Linked DNA regions of Macaca mulatta. The protein of the gene in region 1 purifies or fractionates together with the protein of each later gene. This does not show direct contact. Links are inferred from orthologs where the notes say so. Each region holds a gene or a part of one and is shown in the gene's direction. Other genes may lie near its edges.

Evidence for each region. Proteins that work in one complex are often made in the same cells at the same time.
Region 2: the proteins of SBF2 (region 1) and MTMR1 purify together in Homo sapiens (affinity purification with mass spectrometry; 3 studies listed by BioGRID and IntAct, with this or other methods). This does not show direct contact. The link is inferred for Macaca mulatta from reciprocal best matches to the Homo sapiens genes SBF2 and MTMR1.

The regions. Positions count from the first base shown.
Region 1 is NC_133419.1:55,672,719-55,676,505, forward strand, and holds part of SBF2 (myotubularin-related protein 13), read left to right. Parts: coding exon 1-60; intron 61-1,561; coding exon 1,562-1,824; intron 1,825-2,873; coding exon 2,874-3,046; intron 3,047-3,787. UniProt on the Homo sapiens protein: Guanine nucleotide exchange factor (GEF) which activates RAB21 and possibly RAB28. Promotes the exchange of GDP to GTP, converting inactive GDP-bound Rab proteins into their active GTP-bound form.
Region 2 is NC_133426.1:156,943,647-156,947,433, forward strand, and holds part of MTMR1 (phosphatidylinositol-3-phosphate phosphatase MTMR1), read left to right. Parts: intron 1-2,802; coding exon 2,803-2,908; intron 2,909-3,787. UniProt on the Homo sapiens protein: Lipid phosphatase that specifically dephosphorylates the D-3 position of phosphatidylinositol 3-phosphate, generating phosphatidylinositol. Could also dephosphorylate phosphatidylinositol 3,5-bisphosphate to produce phosphatidylinositol 5-phosphate.

The DNA.
Region 1 (3,787 bases):
GTTCGCTCCCTTTATCTCTCAGCCAAGGAAGACAATCATGCCCCGCATCTGAAGCAAAAGGTAAGAGAGAAGAAAAGAACGCTAATTGTGTGGGATTAGGATTCTGGCTTTAAGGAAAGCAGACCTTCCCAGGGCAAAAAAAAGCTCTAGCTACTTCCTATCAGTGTATTTGGGTTTTATTTAGGGAGCCCTGTGATATCTTTCTTCTGTTGTTTTCAGACATTATGTTTTTCCATAATAACTTCTTAATTCAGTTCTTCAGCACTAGGATTGTTTTAATATACTTTAATAAATAAGAATTTCCTGGAAATGATTATAGGAAGTTGAATAGAAAGAACAAACCTAGGCCGGGCGCGGTGGCTCACGCCTGTAATCCCAGCACTTTGGGAGGCCGAGGCGGGTGGATCACGAGGTCAGGAGATCGAGACCATCCTGGCTAACACGGTGAAACTCCGTCTCTACTAAAAATACAAAAAATTAGCCGGACGTGGTGGCGGGCGCCTGTAGTCCCAGCTACTCGGGAGGCTGAGGCAGGAGAATGGCGTGAATCTGGGAGGTGGAGCTTGCAGTGAGCCGAGATTGCACCACTGCACTCCAGTCTGGGAGACATAGCGAGACTCCGTCTCAAAAAAAAAAAAAAAGAACAAACCTAAAATAACAGGCATACTTCTCTATGCAACTAACTTTCCTGGAGGAATGTCAAATTAAAGTTAATTGACTCCAAAATAAATGTAAAATTTAGTAGTTCTATTTTTTAAAAATGCCAGTAATAAATCTAGGTCTTCTTCTAGGAATATTCTATATGTTTCTCTCTGTTTCATCAGCATAAAATATTTTTATGAAAAATATCAAAATATTTTAAAATCAAGGAAATTGTTTTTAATTTGAAAGAGTAGTTTTAAATACTCTGAAAGTTTAAAATATCATTTACTAGCTCTCTGGTTTGGGTCAAGTCATGTTACTTCACTGTGCCTTATTTCCTCACTGGTAAAATGGATATGATTATTATGAGATTTTAGTGTCTAATATATAAAGTGCATTGAAGAGTACCTGGCATGCAGTAATAATAAGTGTTAGAAATTATCCTTATGAATTGAATTTAAAGCAGCCTTAAAGGCTGATTATCATTATACTTCAGAAATTTATTGGGCTTTGGGGGTGCTTTCGATAATTTTTTAAGCAGCTGTAATGTTAATATTGACACATCTCGAAAGAATTCATAGAGCAAACACATGTCACTGCTTCTTTGCCAGCCATTCTAAAGAAGTCTATCCCGGAGCCAGCCCTAGGTTAGGTACAAGTGAGACCATAGACATACCAGCTCTTCACAAGCTATAAGGTGCTTTGCTGCTGCTTCCTGAGGTTTGTCACATAGTTCCACTCAAGGCCTGTTGGATCTGGGAAAGAAGACTAGGTTTTGTTTTGTGGTTGTTATGTTTTGTTTATGTTTTCATTTTTGCTGATGTAAGCATTTAATAGAATAGTTATTTAAAACATCTATGTTTTTTAAGCTCACCTGAAGTGATGGTTCTCTTTTGGATTGTGTTGCTTTATTTTTTAGGATAAGCTTCCTGATAACCAGTATCAGGAAAAGACAGCAATGGACCTGGCAGCTGAGCAACTACGCCTTTGGCCTACCCTGAGCAAGTTAACTCAGCAAGAGCTAGTGCAACATGAGGAAAGCACTGTCTTTAGTCAGGCCATTCACTTTGCAAACCTCATGGTGAACCTGCTAGTTCCACTCGACACAAGTAAAAACAAGCTCCTAAGAACATCAGCACCAGGTGACTGGGAGAGCGGAAGCAACAGCATTGTCACAAACAGGTACCGAAATGTGAACACACAGACCCTCCTCCTACTCTTCTTGGGACCAGTCTTGGCTTGACAGATAATATTAAACATTTTGAGCAAATACTGCTCAAATTTTAACATATTTGATTATTAACATATTGACATATTTCAAAAGTTAACCATTAACATATTTCAAAAGTTAACCATTTTTTCCTCACCTTTGGACTTTTTCAGCTTTTCTCTCTAAAAGATTCACTTCATCCTACTATTCTTAACCACTTTCCACACTCTCTTCTTTTTTATGACCTAATTTTTCCAAATGTCTCACCCATTACTGATCCAGCCCTTTAGTTACTGTCTGCCAAAGCAATTTACAGAAATCATTCCAGAGAAATTAGTGAGCACCTTCTTGCAAAAGTGACTGTTTGTTTCTCAGCCCTCCTTTTCCTCAACCTTATAGTCATATCCTCAACCATGCCTTCCGTGTCTCTACCCTCCAGTGACTTCTCATACCACTGAAACTAAAACCCAAATGGGTTGCAGTTTACTCAGAGAGTGATAAATCCTGGCAAGAGAAAGGTTCATAGGACAGTTTGGTCCTTACATACCGAAGAATATGCCTGTTGCTGAGAAAAATTCTCTTACTTTGCCTACCAGGAAACATGTTCCTCAGTTGCCAAATTGCCAAAGATAGCCATATTACTTGGTCTCTATGTAATAATTAACTTGGGAGGACAGGTTGCTTTAGAAGGCCCAGGTAGTCCATAATAAACGAGAGAATCCTCTTTTGCTTTATTTTCTGTGGTTCCTGGGTTCCTTTTGGGAGAGTGACAAAAGGTATTCCTTACAGAAACAAATCTGGGTCCAAAGGATAATACCTGACAGTAGTTTCCAAATGTAGACAAGTAGAACGTTGTGTTTTATCACCATGACTTACTAAGAAGCCATGGAGTTAAGTGAGCCTTCTACTTGAGTAGACATCTCTTTGATCATATTTCATTTGCTATGTAAATTGACTACTATATAGTAGTCATTTGTTGCATTTGAGTACTGACCATGATTTCTTTCCTTGACTGTCTTAGTATTGCAGGAAGTGTAGCTGAGAGCTATGATACAGAGAGTGGGTTTGAAGATTCAGAGAATAATGACATTGCCAATTCTGTTGTGCGATTCATTACCCGATTTATTGACAAAGTTTGTACAGAGAGTGGAGTTACTCAGGATCACATCAAGAGCCTTCATTGCATGATACCAGGTAATCACTTTGCAGATATTAGAGAATCAGAATATTGGAGATTATTGAGTTTCAGCATAAAACCTGGCAATACGTGTCTTCCATATAGTTCAGCCATGCTATTTATTTATTTTCTGATTAGTTTTTAAAATGTTTTTAAATTGTTGTGAAATACATATATAACATAAAACAATCTAAGTGTACAATTCAGTGGCATTAATTACATTTACAATGTTGTGCAGCCATCACTATTATCTATTTCTAAAACTTTTTTATTACCCCAAACACTCTACCCATTAAGCAATAACTCCTGTTTCCCCATCCTGCAGCCCCTGGTAGCTTCTAATGTATTTTCTGTCTCTATAAAGTGCCTGTTCTAGATATTTCACATAAGTGGACTTAGATGCTATTTGTACTTTCGGGTTTGATTTATTTCACTTAGCATAGTGTTTTTAAGGTTCATACGTGTTGTGGCATGTATCAGAATTTCATTCCTTTTTATGGCTGAGTAATTTTCCATGGTATAGCTGTCCCACATTTTATCCATTCATCTGTTGATGGACATTTGAGTTGTTTCTCCCTCCCTTTTAGCTATTATAAATAATAATACATGAATATCCACATACAAGTATCTATTTGAGTCCTTACTTTCATTTCTTTGGGGTATATATGTAGAAGTGGAACTGCTGGGTCATAATGGTAATTCTCTTTAACTTTTTTGAGGAACCACTAAACTTTAATTAACTTTTAATTCTAAAATAT
Region 2 (3,787 bases), on another chromosome or scaffold:
CCCTTGGACTATGGAGCCTTCACTTCTGCTCTGAATACTGTAATTAATAATGAGGAAGCTGTGGTCCTGTAAGAGGATGTGTCTTGCCAAAGATCATGGAGTTAGCTGGTGACAGAAGCAGGACTCATGTCCAGGCCTCCTGTCTGCTAGCCCACTATGTTTCACTGTGCGTAACTACATTGGCCAGGATGCTTCTGGTTGCAGGTGACAGAAACCACCGTTCAATCTAGCTTAAGCCAAATGAGATGTCCTGGCTCACAGAACTGCTCCAGATAGGAGGAGAGATGGCCACAGGCACAGTTGAGGCCAGGATTGCAAACGGTGTTGTCGGGACTCCCCATCTCTCTCTCTGTCTTTTTTCCCCTCACTTTTTAATCCCTGTGAGTTCCTTAAGATGGTAGGGGTGGGGTGGGGTGGGGTGGGAAGTGGCCTCCAGCAGCTCTGGATGCAGATCCATGTATTTCAGGATCCAAGAGGAAAGCCTGGGATTGGCTGGTCCTAGGTAACTCACCTACAAGTGGGAGCAGGTGGAGGAAGGGGTCAGCCTTCTTCTCCACTTTCCCCCACAGAAGCCTATGATGTGGGGAAGGGCAGTTCCCCAAGGTAAAGAGGAGGGTCCTTATCAGAAGAAGGGGGAAGGCATGCTGGGCAGGTGGTAATAACAGGTCACACTCACGCTCAGCAGTTGGGTTTCTGCAGTTTCTTCCTGTGTTTGCAACTGGTGGGTGCCGACAGAAAAAGGCATTATGACAGGCAAAGTATGATATACGCGGGAATGAAAGTGACTTAACCTTTAAGAAGGAAACAAATTTCTCTCTTTTCCCTCCTTCTCCCCCTCAGGTCGAAATTGTGGTATATAGATTCCTGGCATGTGATAGGAGTTTCTGCTCGTTCAGTATTTTCAACCACACAGATAACCTCTGGTGTGTTTTGATCAGAGACTGCAATTTGGATCACTAGCACAGAACTTCCATTTTCTTTGTTTTACTCTTTGGGTCATTTTCCATATTGCCTGGGGATTCCAGGTGTTTCTGTCCTTCAGATACATGAGTGTGGGTTTAATCAGTGATGTGATTTTTTTAAAAGGCCTGAAACATTCTTTACAGTGAAAGCTACTTGCAAGGTAAACTTTTGTCAGTATTCTTAGCCTTCTAGCTTGATTTCTTAGTATTTTGCCAAATTGTGAGAGGAACCCGGCCTCTGGGGGCAATTGTTAAATCTCTCACTGCCTAGTTGGCTTATGTGGTCTTTTAGGTCAGGTGAGTACAGCCTGACCACTTGCCAGTCATGTGACCTGGGGCAAAACTGGGCCTTAATTTTTTCATCTGTAAAATGGGTCACTGTGAGGCTGGGCAAGGCTACATGTGTGAAAATGCTTTGATGCCTCAGAGCTCTGTGGGAGTGAAAGATGACATTTTCTTTGCATTGCTGTGTTTTCATATAAAGCGGTTGGCTCGCATCTGTGCTGCTGGCTTCACTGCAGTGAGTCAGTCACTATTCGTTGTTCCATGTCCTGTTGAGGACAGCTACTTTCTCACAGGGCATGTCACCTCTGTGCCTCAATTTTCTCTCCTCAAAGACAAGTTGGCTAGTCCCTGTTCTGCCTTCTCATCACACCATGGTTGTGAGGCTCTGATATAATAAAAACCATTTGTGCTTGTAATCCCAGCACTTTGGGAGGCCAAGGCAGGCGGATCACCTGAGGTCAGGAGTTCGAGACCAGCCTGGCCAACACGGTGAAAACCCATATCTACTAAAAAATACAAAAATTAGCCAGGCATGATGGCACACGCCTGTAATCCCAGCTACTAGGGAGGCCGAGGCAGGAGAATTGCTTGAACCCGGAAGGGCGAAGGTTGCAGTGGGCCAAGATCGTGCCACTGCACTCCAGCCTGGGTGACAGAGCAAGACTCTGTCTCAAAAAAAAAAAAAAAAGAAAAGAAATAAAAAATAAAAACCATTTGTAAGTTGTCAAAGCACTTACAGAAGTGTAAGGTATTGTTAATACTACACAGAGAATATCATTTTTCTAGGCTGTAATTTATAAATCTCATGATTTTCTTCTGAGTCACTTTACTTCACTCAAAAGTATACTATTTTCTAGATTTAAAACTACCAACATGAAATTAATTGAATGTTTGAAAAGCCTATGCTGTAAGATAAATATTTCACATATTTCTCCCGGGTGGGTGCGGTGGCTCATGCCTGTAATCCTAGCACTTTGGGAGGCTAAGGCGGGTGGATCACTTGAGCCAGGAATTCAAGACTAGCCTGGGAAACATGGCAAAACCCTGTCTACACACACACACACACACACACACACACAAACACACACGCCGGGCATGGTGGCATGTGCCTGTAGTCCTAGCTACATGGGAGGCTGAGGTGGGAGGATCTCTTGAACGTGGAAGGTTGCAGTGAGCCGAGATTGCGCCACTGCACTCCAGCCTGGGCGACAGAGTGAGACCCCATCTCAAAAAAAAAAAAAAAAAGGATTTCTTCTGTATAATTTTAATAGAGTAAAATTCCATTAAATGGTAGAGAATAGTAAGCTTAACTAACACCTAGAATCTTCAACTTTTTTTGAGAAAATTGGGTGATTCATTTAAAATTAACCTGGAACCTAATCTTATTTCCTAGTTGTCAGTTGCTATTTCAGTTCTTAGATTAAATGTAAAGGTAACCAAAGAGTCTAGTTAGTTCATCTAAAAAAAGAAGTATTATCATATTCCTATTCAGTGCTAGTTTTTTCACTGAGATCCTATGATATAATGTTTTGTAATCCATGCTATTTTTTTTTAGTCCTACAGGGTCACATGTTGAATGGTGTAAACAGCTTATAGCTGCTACAATTTCTAGTCAGATTTCAGGTTCAGTGACATCAGAAAATGTATCCAGAGATTACAAGGTAAGCAACATTGAGTGCTTAATTCATTTTCAGTATGCTAAGTAGCCAAGAAGCTTTGCAGTTTTAATTCAAGTGAACCGTTGGCCCTTTGATGCAACACGGCCATTTGCTCGAGAATAAGGACGAAAGGTTCTCTGTTGTTAGATCTAAAATGTAGAAGAGAAATTTTACCAGTATCCAGTACATATAGTTTTGTAATTGAGAGGAGAAGCTGTCTTTAGATGACGATGATTCTTTTAAAAATCAAGTTCCATTTTATAATAATAAATGCATATAGCTTCTTTGTTAGTATTGTGAGTTTCAGAAAATATCTTGATGTACAATACTTCCCTAACTTCACAATTTTTTAATGTATTATCTGTGAGTATTCAGCATTAACATGTGATACTAGAATGAATAAAAACCTTTCCAAAATCTCAAAAGAGTATTGTATGGGCAGCCTCATTTTTCAGTCCTTACTGAAGTGAAAATCTTTTTGTTTATTTTAAAAGTTAGATTCTCTGCTTATTCTAAATTGAAGTGATAAGCTCCTTGTCAGCAGAGACTAGGGCAGTTTTACTCACCACTGGCTTCCCAGGCGCAATCCTGGAGCATAATGGTTGCTCAATAAATATTGAATCAATTAACAAACCAAAAAAAATCGCTTGCTCCATCTTTGTTAAGGCTAAAGACTAACTTTGTTTTAACGTCAGTAAACTATTAATAGGTACATTAAATGAAATCACATTTATATTTCAGTAGTGATGTTTGCCTAAATTGAGGTTTCTGTTTATTAGTAGCCATTTTTGCCTGCTAGTAAGAGATGATTGATTTTTCACAAGTGTGTGTAAAATGCATTTGATATCCCAGACTACCATTAGTTAACAGTCTCTCAAAATC